Linked DNA regions of Schizosaccharomyces pombe. The protein of the gene in region 2 interacts with the protein of the main gene of each other region in a pairwise test. Each region holds a gene or a part of one and is shown on either strand. Other genes may lie near its edges.

What was found. The genes of interacting proteins can lie anywhere in the genome.
Region 1: the proteins of moc3 (region 2) and mse1 interact in a two-hybrid assay, tested with the Schizosaccharomyces pombe proteins (2 studies listed by BioGRID).
Region 3: the proteins of moc3 (region 2) and wat1 interact in a two-hybrid assay, tested with the Schizosaccharomyces pombe proteins (2 studies listed by BioGRID).

What each region holds. Positions count from the first base shown.
Region 1 is NC_003424.3:1,881,511-1,887,037, forward strand, and holds mse1 (glutamyl--tRNA (Glu) ligase Mse1), read right to left. Parts: upstream 2,639-5,527; 5' UTR 2,542-2,638; coding exon 961-2,541; 3' UTR 790-960; downstream 1-789. Other genes in the region: GTPase Ypt71, read right to left, coding at 320-400; alo1 (D-arabinono-1,4-lactone oxidase), read right to left, coding at 3,107-4,366, 4,568-4,693. UniProt on the Schizosaccharomyces pombe protein: Catalyzes the attachment of glutamate to tRNA(Glu) in a two-step reaction: glutamate is first activated by ATP to form Glu-AMP and then transferred to the acceptor end of tRNA(Glu).
Region 2 is NC_003424.3:988,908-995,536, forward strand, and holds moc3 (DNA-binding transcription factor Moc3), read right to left. Parts: upstream 4,882-6,629; 5' UTR 4,372-4,881; coding exon 2,845-4,371; 3' UTR 2,725-2,844; downstream 1-2,724. Other genes in the region: tif308 (translation initiation factor eIF3h (p40)), read left to right, coding at 1-781; mitotic and meiotic (sporulation) septin Spn2, read left to right, coding at 1,343-1,382, 1,432-1,506, 1,565-1,693, 1,805-1,886, 1,949-2,618; ubiquitin ligase Slp1, read right to left, coding at 6,569-6,629. UniProt on the Schizosaccharomyces pombe protein: Induces sexual development and ascus formation. Also involved in calcium homeostasis.
Region 3 is NC_003423.3:1,659,972-1,665,149, reverse strand, and holds wat1 (TORC1/2 complex WD repeat protein Wat1/Lst8), read right to left. Parts: upstream 2,210-5,178; 5' UTR 2,204-2,209; coding exon 1,259-2,203; 3' UTR 790-1,258; downstream 1-789. Other genes in the region: vacuolar transporter chaperone (VTC) complex, GTPase regulator subunit Nrf1, read right to left, coding at 200-568; myosin-binding vezatin family protein Inp2, read right to left, coding at 2,761-4,029, 4,084-4,196, 4,257-4,287. UniProt on the Schizosaccharomyces pombe protein: component of both TORC1 and TORC2, which regulate multiple cellular processes to control cell growth in response to environmental signals. Nutrient limitation and environmental stress signals cause inactivation of TORC1.

The DNA.
Region 1 (5,527 bases), 890 kb from region 2:
AATACTCATAGAGAAGCTGATGTAAAGATCGTTAACCATATTTGAGCTAGTATTTAATAACAAAGTGAATAAATTTTAAAAGCAATCACCTTGTAGCGACAAATAACAACTTATCGACATAAAATCAATGGGAAATTGCAGTATTGGATTTTACAGCTCAATACAAAAACCAAAAAGAAAAATATACTGAACGTATAAAATTTAACGCTTCAATTGATAACCACTACACCATCAATGGTTGAATTCGAGGGTAATGCTTAAAAAAGCTCGTCTGTACGATACGTCGACCACATCAGCAACTCCCCTAGCATTAACATACCTGATTCATTAAACATGTTTTTCCAACGCCACTATCTCCTAATATAACAACCTTTAAAAACACCCTTTTCTGAGCCGACATTGAAGTATATTCTGTCGTACCTGGTAGTAAGAAGTTCAGCCCTTAGAATGTCCATCTGGGACAGCATTGATAGTGTCTTTCAGTTTGACACATTACAGTAAGTAGCATTACAATACTTCGTTGCATAGCGTTGTTTTAAATACGAATCTTTACCGTAAATTTTTATAACAATATTTAACGAAAACGAATAACTCACTAAGTTTTTAATAAGATACATTTGCTTTCAATAGACATTACAGTGAAGGATCTAGTTATCTGACTACTATCCTGGGAAGTCAACTAGTACTGTAAGCAAACTAATAATTTGCTTTTACATAAAGAAAATCAGTGAATTTGATTTTATATTTCACTTTGAAAGTTATTGAACATTTACTGCTTACAACAAATTTGTTGAATGATGCTACTTGCTTTTTTTTGTAGCTAATCTAATGAGAATTTATATTTGTGCATAAAGTTCCTTTCCGTAAAACGCATTGTAGATATACGATTGATAAAAATGCTATTATATTCTCTGCATCAAAAGTATCAAAGAAAAAACGATTGTATCTGGTTAGTTAGAATTATACGATACAACTTCTTTTGGGTAATTCATGCTTTAGTGATAATAGTAAACGCTCCAAACGGGATTTTACTGTTTCCTTCCCCAATAAACTAATAGTATCGCTAATACCTCCTCCAGGCAGATTTCCACATAAGCCATATCGAAGTAAAGACTGTATTTTTTTCAAAGGCATCTGATGCTCCATGGCAATTTCTTTTAAACTAATCTGTATCTCATGAGTATTCCATTCGATGGTTTCGAACTTGTTTAAAATTGTTGTTAAAATTTTTGGAAGCTCTTCTACCGTGATGAGGGAGGAAACTAAACTTCTAATTTGTTGAAGGTCAGATGCCTCATAAAAATAGAACACTATCTTCTCAAACTCCTTAATCGTGTGCACTTTATTTTTTAAAAGTAGCAAGAGTTTTTTAGTGTAACTTTTGTCATGACTTCTAGAAGAATGAGAAAACTTTTGGATCAACCTCGGCTGAACCAGTTCGATAAGCTCATCGAGTCTGTTAACATCTGATATCGCTCTCCTCAGGTAATTTTTGTTTAAAAAGTAAAGCTTTTCAAAGGCAACAATTGAGGAGCTCTTTGTTAGTTTATCGATCGAAAACAGATCGATAAGTTCTTTCATCGGGAGAAAATCACTTTTCTGACGCGAAGACCAGCCCATTAAGGCAATAAAATTAAGAATTGCTTCAGGAAGAAACCCTTCTTGAAGAAGACTAGATACATGTGCATCATTTTGTCGCTTACTGAGCTTTGACCCGTCAGGGTTGACTAAAAGTGGAAGATGAGCAAATTTGGGAGGTTTCCATCCAAATGCTTCATAAAGTTGTATATGCTTAATCGTAGATGGTACCCATTCCTCTCCTCTAATAACGTGAGTGATATGCATTAAATGATCGTCAACGACATTGGCAAAATGGTATGTGGGAAATCCATCAGATTTTAAAATTACAAAATTATTAGATTCCTCTATTTCTCTGGAATCTGATTTTATTGCAATTTTTCCATACACCAAATCAGTGAATGGTGAAGGTTCCTTCATTCGGAATCGAACAACGTAAGGGAATTTTTTAGATTTATAAAGCTTTCTTTGAGCATCAGTCAAGTCATCAATTGATATTTCATGATATTTTGTAGATGAATCAATTTTGGTAGTAGCGATAGGGACCGAATAAGATACATAGGCTCTCCCAGTTTCTATTAAGTGCTGAGCATACTTTTGGTAAATTTGTAAACGGCTCGACTGTTCATAAGGACCATAGGGACCACCGACGATTGGTCCTTCATCCCATTGAAGATTGAACTGCTTTAGTACTTTATAAATCTCCAAGTCTGAACCCGTTACTTTTCGCTTTTGATCAGTGTCTTCTAGGCGCAAAATAAATTTCCCGTTCGATTTCTTGGCCCACAAGTAATTAAATAAAGCTGTTCTTAGAGATCCAAGATGCAAGAACCCTGTAGGAGAAGGAGCGAATCTAGTCCGGACTACAGCAGTGGAATTACATCTTTTCAGTGAATAAAATGAGATCTTGGAAACTATATATCTTGAACAAATTAGTTTCGCACAAGAGGTATAAGAGAGCATCCAAAAAAATTACTATAAACAGAATTATTCAGTATTATTTTCCAGAATTGGATATAAGGTTGCAAAATTTTCACTAGCGAAACTCAGTTGTTAACTTGTTAACATTGAGTGAGAAGTGATTGTATTTATAATAAAAATTGTTTTTTATGAAAAGTAGACAGTTAGCGTTAACAAATTGTTTTATTTTAAAACAGCTTTGAGATACAGTACAAGAAAGAAATTCAGGGAGTCGAATAAGAGGATGTTTAGAAATTGTAATCTTACGTACTAAAAGTCGTTGAAGCTGATCAAAAGTGAGGAAATGTTTATTTATTAGTTACGATCCTAAGTTTTTCTTTGTTATAGCATTCAAGAAGAAATTGCAAATATACCTAATCTAAAATACCATACCCAGAACATTAAGTAAAAAGTAATGTTTTAAAAATAGGGAGCTACACTAATATAAAAAAATTGTCTCCTAATTTAATTAAAAGTCAGTTCCAATATGTGTGTATCAAGTATGACAAAATAACAAGAATAAATTGAGTAGGGATAATGATTACTAAAGTTGGGTTATAGTTTCGATTTAACCGAGATGGCGTTGTAGGTAATCGTTCCAAAAAACGCCTTTTGGATCAAGAAGTTTACGAAGGGAAAGCCATTTTGAAAGGTTTGGATAGCGTTCAAGTAACTGCTCTTTAGTTAAACTGTATTCCTTAGCCCAATGAGGTTTTCCGTTATACTGATTTGCGATATCCTCTAAGGCTTTGAAGTAGGGTTTATAGTTAATTGAAGTAGAGAAAGGGCGGTACATGATTGCTTCGATATAACAGGTGGGTACTTTACAATCAGTAGAAAGCCAACATTCATCCTCTGGAGTGGGAGCACAAACGCGAACCTCAATAGGCCAATGAGTATATGCGCCTATCTTTCCAGCATCATCAACAGTATAATTTATCAGTTTCTCAAGGGCATCGGGGGCAGATTCAAGAGGAATACCCCATTCACTAACATGTTGTGAAAAATAGCAGAACATTTGCAAAACATCAAAACCAGGGCCAGCCACCTGCAAAGCCGTGCCAAGCTTAGAACCATAATGACATTTGAACCAAAAACGCTCCAAATACGGCGTAACTCTATTTACACATTTACCCACAAAAAGTAAACATTGATAGACAAAGGAATCTAGCTTCAAGCGAAAGAGTGATGGCTTAGGTGTGTGAGGAACAGTATTGGGTTCTACTTTGTTGGCTCTCCAAACAACAGCTCGATTAGCATATGGGAATACATGAACACGCACAAATTCAGCAGATTCCCAAATCAGGTTGTTTTTCCAATCTTGAAATAAATCAGTGACAGTAGTAACATCTTCCGTGGCGACCAAATCAAAAGCTGGTACAACAGAGATAGTAATATCAACAATTACACCCAATGCTCCCAAACTAACTTGAGCAGCAGCAAACATGTCTTTCTGTAGCTCTCGAGAACAGGTTACAATAGATCCATCGGCGAGCATAATACGCATTGACTTGATATAATGAGGAAGCACTTGATGTTGCAAGCTAGAACCATGGGTACAAGTGGACATGATTCCGCTTACAGAAGTTTCAGAGATGCTACCAACGATGGGAAGAGAATATCCCAAATTCTGAAGGATTTCTTGTACTTGGTAAAATCTGATACCGGCTTGAACGGTAATACTAAGGGAATCAGGGTCAAATGAGACAACCTTATTCATTTTATCTAATGACAAAAGGTAGCCAGAAGTGCAGACAATGTCTGATGGCGAGTGGCCAGCACCGACAACTCGAATTTTTTTTCCATTCGAATTTGCATCTACTAGAATCTAAAAATAATAATGTTAGAAGCAAGCGAACTAATTAATTTCTATAGAAATGTAAAAAAAAGGGGGAAAAGGATTGATAGCCAAAGCAGCATCATGAACTACTAGAAACTAAGGACAGATGTAAAGCTAACTTTAAACAAATTTACAAGTCTTCTTAAACCCAGTTTTCTTACGCTACGTCCAAAAGGGCAAAAGCATTACCTCTCTTAATTGTTCTTCTGTTTTGGGGCATCGTAAACCAAGTGAAATGGCAGAGAAAGTTTTAGCCCAATTTGAAAAACGAACTCGCCCATCTTGGGATAGCTTATTAATATGAGGAATTGACATAGCAGAAAGCAAAAACTAGTAGTAAGGATTGCAATCTAAAGGAATTTCAACAAAATTAGCTGAGAATACGCCGATGCTACAAAAATCCTTATATTAGAACAAAAGAGCAATTCCAGATATCCTTTTATCTAAATTTCGCTGTTAGCGATTATTTGGCAGTGAACAAGACGCTGGAGGATTGTTATATAGTCAGTTACTAATATCACCTCCAAAAAACGTAATTTGCTATAAGTATCGCTAATTTGAACGATAATTTGTAAACAACTATAGTGATTGGTAAAACTCCAATATGTTAAATAGTGACAAGGAGAAACCGTTGGTAAGTCCACAGTAATTGAATCTAGGATTGTCACAGGTGAAAGAAAATTGCTTAGTATTGAATTGTCATGTCTATGCTATTAAGGTAATTATATACTTATGCCATTTGTTTTTTACTTGAAACGAATCATCAATGTTGCTGTTTAAACAAGGTGTGAAAGATATACAAAACACAATATACTTACTTTCAATAGTACTATAAATCAGCGTAAGTAGTTTGCAGTGGGACGCTACGAGAAAGAATTTTGGCATAATTTGTTAAACAAAAACAAGCCTAGTGCACAACACAGTTATTCACTATATTGGATGATTATGGAAAAGCGGCGAGGAGTCTTAACGTGTGGGATTGAAATGTTTGACGATTAATAATAAATTTCCATAAAGTTAACGATTAATCTTTATATATCCTTTTGGCTACTCTAAATAAATAAATAGTCAAAGTTGCCAAATTCCTTGTTTATTTACATTAAAGATTTCCTATCAAAGAGTACTAAGCGTGTGCGAAGTGATTATTCG
Region 2 (6,629 bases):
TGGTGCTGTTACTGGTCACGTTGGTTGGTATTTGGGAGCCTATGTTAGTTCATTCTTAAGTAGCCCCTTTTTTGTAGAAACGCAATATGCTTATCAAAAGGCAAACCCCAACAGTATCGCTTTTCTTTATGATTTGTCTCAATCTTCTAATGGAACTTTGTACATGCGTGCTTATCAGTTAACTCCAGAGTTTATGGCTGCCCATGAGGAAAAAACTTGGACCGCCTCCTCCCTCAATAGCCACAACTTGACTCCTTCCAATGTTATCCGTGAACTTCCTATTGTTATTCACAACTCTCATTTGGCTACCTGTTTGCTCCACTCTCTTAGTGAGCCTCCTACTCCAGCTTCTACCCTAACCGCCGAAGCTGCTCTTGAAGATTGTGAAAGCAACTTACCCTTGACTGAAACGTTCAGTAACTTTGAGGTTAGTTTGGGTACCAGATATAGAAAGAATATTGAGTTATTATTGGAGTCTACTGATGAGTTTCATTATGAGCAAGGAAATCTTGGATTTCATCAACGTCAACTCGCAAGAGAGCAAGCTAAAATTCAACAGTGGATTGCTAAGCGTAAGGCCGAAAATGCAAATCGTGCTGCCGAAAATTTACAACCTTTACCTTTAGACGATTGGAAGCGAATCTTCAAGCTCCCTGCGGAGCCTCGACTTCTTGACTCTCTATTGATTAGCTCTCAAATTATGAAGTCTACTCAAATAGATGAACAAAGTTCTGCTTTCTTGTCTAAGCTTGCCGGTGTACGAAACGCTTATGCTTCTTAAGCTACTGATTGGTAATAATCGCTTAAATTTAGCGCTAATTATTTGTGAATCTGGTTGAAAATTTTTAAGGACTTTGATCTCTGTGAAGCGGTTGCATGTATTTGTTTATAAAAAATGGAGCATTCTTCTTCACTCTCACTAGTTATACCTCGTAGCATTAAAATAAAAGGATCTACTTAATTATAAAAGTTGTTTTGGTTTTCTTGATACAGCATATTGGTTTGTTGAAATACAATGTGCAAAAATATACCATGATTGTAATTATAAGAAACAGTTTAATCTTCAATAGTGCATTCAGTTGCTGGTAATCTACTTGTTTATCGTATTCGAGTTTTAGGTTACATTGCTAATTTAATATATTTTCGGGCCCTTATACAACATCGAAACACTTTTCTATTAATAAAATATATTGTTAAATTTTGTTTTCTCTCTGTTAGATTATTTAAAAAAAAAATCGTAAATATTGCCGAGACCTTTTTGTTTGTTTTGACTTGCTTCACGTTACAATGTTGACTTGGCCAAAACCAACAAATTCCAAATTCATTCAATTCGCAACTTGCAATGGAAGTTCCTTCTGCAGTTACCCTAAATAATTATGTGGGTATGAAAACAAAAGAATGTTGATAAAGAGTCAAAACTAATGTTTATAGGGTTCGATTCTATCACTTCGCAAATTAACCGCAAGTTAATTCGTCGTGGTTTTCAATTTAATGTAATGGTGGTTGGTACGTATTATTTTTATTACAGATTTTCAATTATAATGATGTTAACAGTTTCAAATAGGACCGTCAGGTAGCGGAAAAAGCACTTTGATTAATACTTTATTCTCTGCGCACTTGATGGACAGTAAGGGTCGTCTGGATTACCAAGCTCCTTATCGCCAGACAACTGAAATCCATGTTACAAGCCAAGGTATGTTGATTTTTTTATAGTTAGGTTTTCATCTTTGATTGAACTCATTGAGCTGGCTTCAATGAGTCAGCAATCCTTATATTTATTATGGTTACATTGCTAACCACATAGTCGTTCGCGAGAACCGTGTTCAATTACAATTAAATTTAATCGACACTCCTGGATATGGAGATCAAATTAATAACGATAAATGGTAAGTTTGATCAGTGGAAATGGAAATTTCTATTCCTGCACAGCAATTTCTAACTATAATAGCTGGGAGCCTATAATTAAGTACATTAGGGACCAACACTCTTCCTATCTTCGTCGTGAATTAAATTCACATCGCGAGAAACGTCTACAAGACACAAGAGTACATTGTTGTTTATTCTTTATTCGCCCAACTGGACATTCTTTGCGCCCTATTGATATTGCTGTCCTCAAACGCTTAACAGAAGTCGTAAATGTTGTGCCTGTTATCGCTAAGTCTGATTCATTGACTCTTGAAGAAAGAGCAGCATTTAAGCAGCAAATCCGTGAAGAATTTGTTAAACACGACATCAATTTGTATCCTTATGATTCTGATGACGCCGATGAGGAGGAAATTAATCTAAATGCTGCCGTCCGAAATCTTATTCCTTTTGCCGTGGTCGGTTCCGAAAAAGCCATTATCGTAGATGGAAGGCCTATTCGTGGTCGTCAAAACAGATGGGGGGTTGTCAATGTGGATGATGAAAACCACTGCGAGTTTGTTTTTCTTCGTAACTTTTTGATGCGAACTCATCTTCAAGATTTAATTGAAACGACCTCATACTATCATTACGAGAAATTCCGCTTTAAGCAATTGAGCAGCTTAAAAGAACAGTCTTCCCTCGCAACTAGAATGGGAAGTCCCGCACCTGTGTACCCTTCTGAACCACATCTCCATACAGCCACCGCTCAATAGTCTTCTTCCTAAGGTAATATATAGTATGTTTAGAACAAAGACTAAACCATTTGTATGACTGTCGTACCGTAATTCGTAAATTTCGGCTCTTTTTACACTATGCGAATCTTACAAATGAAGTGTTTATCTTATTAACGAGAGATTATATGTTTGATGCGTGATTTTGTCTAGCTATTATACAGTTCTATATCAATATTTATTGAAAAGCATCAAAATGATTTTAAAATTAAAGTACTGGTCGATTTAAGACATTGCAATCCATAAAATGTTCTAGCATCAATCTTCCGAAATGAGATTCGATTTGTGCCCGAAGTTTAAATTCTTTAGAGTTTGATGCAAAAACATTTTGTAGAGATAATACGCATAAATAGGAAGTGCGTAATACTGCAATATCTGTGCATTCTTCTTGCATTAATTGCTGTAAGCCAGAAAGAACGTCATTATTGTTTTTGGTAACGGCATGTCCTACACAATCTATAACTTTAGTAAGAGGACTTCTTGATGCTGAATACAAGTGCACATGATATTCATCTCGCCAAGCAACCATTCGTTCTCGATGCAAATCATCAGACAAGGTTGGTTGAGAGAGAATGTCCAATCCAATAGTAAACAAAGAATCCGAAACAGGTGCATGACTTCGAGAAACAGAAACTTCCGATAAAGGCTTTCCATTAAACCCCCAGATACACCCACGAGGAAGAATTGCAAAAACTAGTTCACGAACGACCATAGCAATCAATAAGCTGACATAATTTGATTTGGTAGACGAAGACCAACTTAACTTTCTAATAAAATTATTACAAAAATTGAGATCATAGGCTGGGAGATTGAGCTGAGTGAGAGTCAAAAATGCAGAAACCAACAGGTATTCAAAAGAATTGGGACCAGGCATTGGACAGCGAAGAGCTCTGGTCAAATGACTGTAAGCACCAAAAACGTCGAGCTTCTTAATAGACGCAAAAGCCATTAAAGAATTAGCAATACAAGGCATCGATTGAGCAAACTGGGGAACAGTGACTGACCAAAAATGCAAGGCTATGTTATTATCAAATTCAAATGCACAAATAGAAGGTACGACATCGTGAAAATAAAACGGAAACAGTTCGGAATTAAAGTTTGAAGGGAAATTGGAAACTGATGAAAGAAAAGGGTAAGAGGCCTGACCCACCGATTGTACAGAGGGTTTTGTAGACGAAGTAGCGCTAGAAGAATTATTTGTAGGAACGTTATGATTGGATTGAAGGTATTGATGCTGTTGATAAGCACTTGGAAATCCTTGTAAATTCATAGGTTTTTGATGATCCTGTTTGATTGGGGTAACGGTGGATAAATTGGAGGAGGAGGTCATCTGATTAAGATCATTTGTATTAAAATTGGATTGTGAAGAGCCGGAAAAAGTGTCTCCGGTTTGAGCGCTACTTGAAGCAATTGAAGTAGGTATCAATGGCTGTTGAGCAGAATGAACGCTTAGCTCAGGAGGCGATACACTCCCCATGGCTTGCATTTGAGCAGCTGAATTTGGATAACCTTCACATTCCCTATTTGTCTTTGTGCAGTTCAAACAAAAAGGTTTGGTTTCGTCGCACTTGATCCTGCGACGGCGACATGTTAAACATCCAGTTTTCGTTCTTCTTTTTGTGGGCTTGGGCGTAGGCTCGACGTTTGGGTTGGGAATATATAGCGGATTTGAATTAATACTACCCGTTCTATTCCGTTTCATATGAATTTCGGGATAAGAAACATACGGGTTCATAACTGCAAGGGAAACAATAGATAGAAAAAAAAAGAATAACAAGATAATAGGAACTAAACAAATCAAAAGTAAAGAAAGCCCGATTTGAAAACGCTACGCTGCTTGAGAAAAGCGCGCAAAGAAAAAACGCAAGCACAGAACATGAAATTGGAAGCCGATTTATACAAAATTTAAGCTCCAATTTAACAAGGAAACTAAGCACCTTTTTCGTAAAGGCCAAGAAACTCTTTGTAGTCTTTTTTTTAAAAAAGGTAGCGTTACTAACTCTATAATTATATATATATGAATACAATAAATTATTTCAGAATAACCGGACGGCCAAACTGTTCGTAATAACAAAAGAAAAAGCCCTAAAAAAACAAAAGAAGGTGAAAATCAATGGTCGTCTAGCAATTTGCTAGCAACTCTTGCACAATCAATAGGTTTATAGGAAGTGACTTGAAAACAAAACTAGCAAAAGCGACAAGCTCACCCAATTTACAAATGCAAATTTGGGTGAATAAAGGACTTAGAAAAAATGTTGGAACAACTTTCAAGTAGGAACCTCGACATTAGCGAGTGATAAGGCGGCAAATTTGATAAGCCCAAAGGCAACAACAATACTAAGAGCTTTTTATTTAGACGTTAGTAAAGTAGCTTGCTTGATACGCATTAGTACAAAAATCCAAAGAATTGAGAAAATCACGAGCCAAGCAAAAACAGTATAAGAACGATTAACTTGTTTAACCTCTAATGTTCTTTTAAAAATAAAAAAAAAACACAGATGTTTCGTTAATTTTTTGATACTTAGATTATGCCCTCATGTGTTTCATAAATAGCATTCCTTGCTTTTCGTTTTTTTCTGTTTTTTTTCTTTTTCTTTCAGACAATTTATAAAAAAAATTCTTTGCATGTACCTAAATATAGTTTGCATTCTCATTTAGGTTGATCAAGTTGGTTAATAACCACGTGGCTTCGAATATCTGTCATGTTCAGGAGCCACATGTCTCTCCATTGTTACAGCGATTTGGTTGATCTTTACATGGCTTACGCATACGAAGATGCTTCCTGCATTTTTTTTTTATTTCAAATCGTTCATTCACTCTGCACTAGCGAAAATCTTCATTCATATGCAAACTTGTCACTCTTTTATATTAACAAAATATAAACTTAAGCTTGAATACAACTGTTAGCTTTGAACGCTACACCTACCCTAGTACCCTAGTAGCTTGATAACCATAGCGAAGATCCGTGGCCTATTGTCGATCTCTGGGAAACTGTCACTGGATCAAAAGCATCATGTTTCTTCGCTCGGTAAGAAAACTATACTCCAGATTTATGAGAAAGGCACAAAAAGCATCAAAACCTATGCCAATGCAAGTCTCACAAAACCAAATTATCCACCCCTAAAGGTGGAATTGTTCGTTGTTCGTGATGCGATTATTGCTTTATCAGGATGATTGTACTTAATCTCAATCAGATCACCCCAAGGTTAGTCGGCTTTGTCAAAGGTCTTACCTTTTATTGAAATCCATATCCTCCTGTAACAATAGGGGATTCACTATTCATACCTAGTTCACCCATTTTTCTCATTTCACTTCTTAAAGCAAATAACGTATAATAACAGTATTTGTTTACTGATGAGATTAACATTACCCGATGAAGAAAACCAACTATGGTACAGCAATAGGTAGTTAAGAAAATACATGAGATCGTAAATACCAAATGTTTGCCAATTATGAGCGTGAATTAGCATTAGTTTTTTTTTTTCTTAATTCATCTGTGTTTCAATAATACGAATTAGATTGATAAGTTTTTTTTTTTTTTTTTTTTTTTTATAACTACCTAGTACTCTTCCATGATGCGAACATTATAACAACAATGAGACCAAAATATCTTTAGCGATTGGAACAACAAGGTCACATTTCGGAAAAATGATTTGCCAGGCTGAAGATTTATATTAACCAACTTGTTCTCATTAAAAGCCAAACTATTGAATTTACAAATTTGTTATACGAGCATCAATCCTATTATAATAAAATCGACTCAAGTTGAATTGTAGCACATATTATTTATTCACGAGTCATTAAAATATTAGTTTAAACGTGTCAATTATCTTCCCATTAGCGCCAAATCCAAATAAATAAATAGTGAGTAACTGATGCAACATAGTGATTCGACGAGCTAAACGTTGAAATCTAAAAGAAACTGGTGTTGTTCAACGGATTGTTATGCTGCTGGACGGGGTTTTGGTAATTGGAATGGGCCTTTTAACGTGG
Region 3 (5,178 bases), on a different chromosome or scaffold from region 2:
AAACTTTACATGTTACGAGGAAACTAAATAAATTGATAATCTAAAATATATGTTTAAAAGAACTTAAGCCTATCAAACACTAAGCTTAAAAACTTGGAATGGAGAGTAAGGAATCCTCATTTTCATATTTGTGAAGTTATGCTCAGACGATAAGGCTGAAATATCGCGAAAAAATCTCCAAAAAATGGACTTAATCCTTTCAAAATAACATACGAAGAACAAAGTTGGTTATAATAGCTGCCAACAAAACAAAGCAGAGAATGGTAGGTCCCAATCGATCATCGTAAGGACCACTTCCGCGTCGTCGAATAGCAGATGCTCTCCAGTGGTAAATACCAAGAGCATAACCCATGGTACCAATAGCAACAATAGTGAAAAGTCCTGCACTAATCTTACCAATTCGATCACCAAAGTTAAGTAAACCAACTGACAAACCACCCAAAACTACTGCAAAGCTCAACCAAGAAAGGAAAGTACGTTCATTAGCGAAAAAAACTTTAGGTTCAACACGAACAGGAAGAGCAATTCTTTTACCAGGAGTAGTTTGTAAAAGAGGTTGAGTAGACATTGTTAGTGGAAAGAGTGAGCTATAAATCGAAGGTTTTTTCTCCTCGCGAGATTAAGTATGTGCTGGCTGTGAGTTGTGGTTAAGGTCAGCTGTGTCGAACGGCCTAGAAATTTTTTTCGTATCTTACTACGGTAAGTCTCGGTAAGTTAATTAGCAGATTTAGCGAGACTAAATTCTTCAAATTTTGCATTATCAAATTCGCTTCTTCGCTAACCAGAAAGCTAATGAAGATATACATTTCATTTCATTTAAGGACACGAGGATATGTAACTTTTCCTACTTAATCCTATCATGTTTAGAGATAAAAGTTGTAAAATAAGTTAAACTACACTAATAAGCATTGAAAATTTTCAAAAGTTATCATCACTTAAGACTATTATTTATCATAAAAACTCCGAGATATGAAACTAGCAAATACTGTATCAAGGGAAGAATATAATTTATAAAAAATTTGTAAGTGACTAAGAAATCGTCTTGAAATCAGACACACTTAATATAAACGAATGTTGACAAGACAAGACTCTTGTTTTCCTAAGAAGATTGGTGAATAAAATCTATATAGCAAAGGTAAAATAGGATAAAGGCGTGTAATAAACTTGAATATATAGAAGTAATTTTCCAACATCAGTTGAGCTAAAAATACAACAAAACATAACTCGTAAACTTATTTTGAAAAATGCTTTGAAACACTTAAATTTGGTAGTCATTAAGAGCAACACAAACAGCAGCTTTGTGATGACCCGAATACTGACGGATTGTTTCACCACTCGATAACTCCCAAAGCCTTGCAACATGATCAGAAGATGCGGTTACTAAGTAGGTAGAATCAGCAGAAAACGCACAATCCCAAACCCATCTTTGATGCCCTTGAAGTCGTCTCTCAAGCATAAATGACATATCCTCCGTACTCCATATATTCACTGTAGCATCGGCAGAACATGTAGCAAGGTGTTTGACATCAGGAGACAAGACGCAGCGAGTGATATAACGCTGATGAGCTTGAAATTTGACAACGGGCTGAAGCAATGAAGCACCCTGATGATTTAGCATTCGCCAAACGTAGCAGTTTCCTTTGTTGTTCCCAGCAATAAGCATACTACCATCAGATCCAACAGTAATGCTGCTCATAGGTACATCTTCTTCCGGAATAAGTTCGTGTGTACAAGAATTCTCTCCTAAATCCCATGCACGAACTCGTCCACTTTGGTCGCATGAAAGCAGTTCACCTTGATTTGGATGAATTAACAAGTCATTAACAGGAGATTTATGATCATAGTTTCGCTGAACTGAAGGGGCTCTCATATCCCACACCTTTACTGTTCCATCCTCGCTCGATGTGGCAAGCCATTTACCATCACAATGAAAAGCGATGGCTGTAACATTATTGGTGTGCCCTTCAAAGGTCATTAATGGCATTTGACTACTAGTGTTTATGTCGTACAATCTTACATGAGGATTTCCGGCGGCTGCTAGAAACTTCTTATCAGGTGAAATACATAAACGATTTACCTGAGAGTCCGCATGTTGTATTGTTCTCGAGCATATTCCACTTAGGGCTTCCCAAAATCTAATGGTATGGTCATATCCACTGCTGACGAGCAGAACAGAATGTTGTGGTGGATACTGTACTGACATGTGGTTAAAGAATGGAGCGCTGTTATACTGTAGTTATTAAACAAACTCGAATACAGAGAGAATTAATGACTGAAAATTTTTAAAATCAATTAAATATGTTTATATTATATATTTAGTAAATTTTTTGTAGCATGACTTGTAAACGCACGATTGGCGATCTATACTTTAAATCTACAGCCATCAAAACTTTAAAAAATTTAACAGTTTTGACCATAAAAACAGGAAAATTCATAGAATAATAGTAAATTCATGTTAATTTAATTTTTTAAAAAATTGCGCCTGCAATAAGTAGCATAAGCATAAGTGTAAAGATAAACTGGTATAACTAAAATATTATACAGGACGAAAGGTTAAGGCAAATTTTTAAGCAACAAAGACATCATTGCTGAGTTGAACGACATTTAAACCTAGATAAATGTCGATTTGTAAATAGTTTATAATAACTATCCTAACTATTAAAACCAACAAGGTTCCGAAAGACGTATAACAGAAACGGACAATAATGGATAAAAAAGATCATAAAAGCAAAATATGGTTTAAAATTCTGAAAGCCAAAATTATTTACGCTTTCGGTGCATGTGTTGCAAGTTGAGAAGTAGTGCTCTATTAAAGTCCCATTCAGAGAGCAAATCTTTGAGCAGTAAACCAACTTGATCATATTCATCCATAGCATATGTCTGCATAGCTGTATTGTCTCCTTCTTGAATATATGAGCTGATAGACTCATGAGTTTCCATCATTACAGAGTGCAACTCGTTAAAAAGACTGCGCAAATTTTCTTTGCACATGATCCTGGGGAAAGGTTTGCTAGTAGTGTTATGTTGATTACGGTTGACCGATTCAACTGAAAACTTTAAGATGTCAACGAGACGAACCATCGACACAGACAATGCATTAGAGAGGTCACCTACCTCCCGGTGAACAATGAGCCATGAAGACCTTTCAGCTAAAAATGAATCAACCGGAAACGATAGTATGCAACATAGAACTTGCTTAGAGATTATAGTTAATTCATAATAAGCAGTTTTGATGTGATTGAGAATTTGGGTGGATTGGTCATCAAAGTCTTGGTTTTCTTTACGGGCTAGGTACATGGAACTCCGTTTTAAGCTTGTTGAGGAACCTTTTCGGAGGTCAAACGAATTTAATTTACCAAAGCAATTTGGAAGTCTATATAGTGATAATAGGTTTCTAAGGTTGGAAGCAGCTGCATACGGATATATTCTTGACAGAACCAGCTGGTATCTAGGTAAAAGCTTCTCATACAAACCAGACAGTTCGTAACTTAAAGTATTTTGTTCCGTAAGATTAAACAATAAAGGATCATTGGCAGGAAGGAAGTCCATTAACCGGGAGCGATTTGCTGCCGAATTTGCTTCCAATTCACAAATTTGGGAGTAAACACGATTAGATGTAGTTTCAAAATCATGCAATAGATTGACAAACTTATTTAAGCTGGATAATCCCATAATACGAATAAAATATGTCCAGCAATGACAAATCCGTATGAGCGAAGAGAAGCAAATATAAGATAAGGCTATTATCTTCACAAACTTTAGATAATGAAGACTTGCCATTGCAGATGATAATTTGTATAAAACAAAATCTATTACAATTTGTAAGCTCAGCAGATAGGCGAAGTATCTCCAAAACTTGCTCGTAGAACTGAACGATGAAGAAGGATAAACCAAAGAAGGCTGTTCTTCATGATGTGACCGCTGTAGCTCGTGATCTCCTACGAGGAGTTCAGATGTATAAATAATGTACTGAATGCTGTCAAAAAAATATTCGTTTTCTCGATCTTGTAAGTTTAGATTAACCGACCCCTGAAAATGTTCATTAGCATATTACAATAACTCAAACTATAAAATCAGACTAACCATTATGCAAGGCCATAGATAAATTGCCAAAAAAGAGATAAACCGATGCCATATAGCAAAAGCGTGCATGGAAATATACACTTTGTATCGAGTCCTCAGAGATGAATACAACCCTAGTGTATTGTGTCAGACAAGAAAGAAAGTCGAAAAGAACAGGAAAGCTTTTGTCTTACCATCGCGAGATAGTTGAGTATCTACGTTCATATCAAACCGTTCAGCCAAACATGGAAAGGCTTTGCTTGCGACACCCTGATAGACAGGAATTTTTTATACAGATGTAATGACAAACAATATGCTTTAAGCAGCAACTTAATTGTAGTTTAAAATCATATAGAAATACTTAAAATCAATGAGGGTTTGCACTTCAGGATAATGGTAAATGAAAATCACACTTCACGAAAATAAAACGCGTAAACCGTTAATCTTCAAAACTAAATAATACCGCTCAAATTACGCTGTTTTTCCGCTAATGTTCATAAGGGAAATGTTTGAATTCCGTAAAACTGTTAAGGATGCGCAGGGTGATGGTAAAAGATTTGATAGTATATGTTTATTTTGCAGAAATATTCGCCTTGACTATATACAAAGTACTTTTATAAACTAAATAGTGTTAGAAAAGTATAAAGAGAAGCTTCGATAGAAAATTATTTCAAGGTTAAAATGAATAACTCGTTGCATCAAATTAGTTTGAGGTGAAAGGAAGGATATGATTCGTAGAACTGCTAATTCTTCCTGAGAATGGTAAATGAACGGAAAGCGATTTTTGCAGTTTGAACACGATTTGATACATGAGAGCAATACAGTAATATTGTATATACAGATGGAGATAAGATTTGGTTGCGATTTAAATGGCAATGAAATAAAGATCTAATAAGATAACCATTAGTAAATTCTTAGCGAACCATGCTTTCCCACCTGCTAGTAGAAGATGTTTGCAATTCAGTAAACAAAGGTTATGAAAGTCACCAGTATAGCTAAATTAACAAAGTTAGCTGATCAATAATATTGAAATCTCATTAAATTACGATGATAATCTGTCTCTTCAATGAAATAAAAACTTAACACTGTGTAGATATTACGACGGCATGCAAAGAA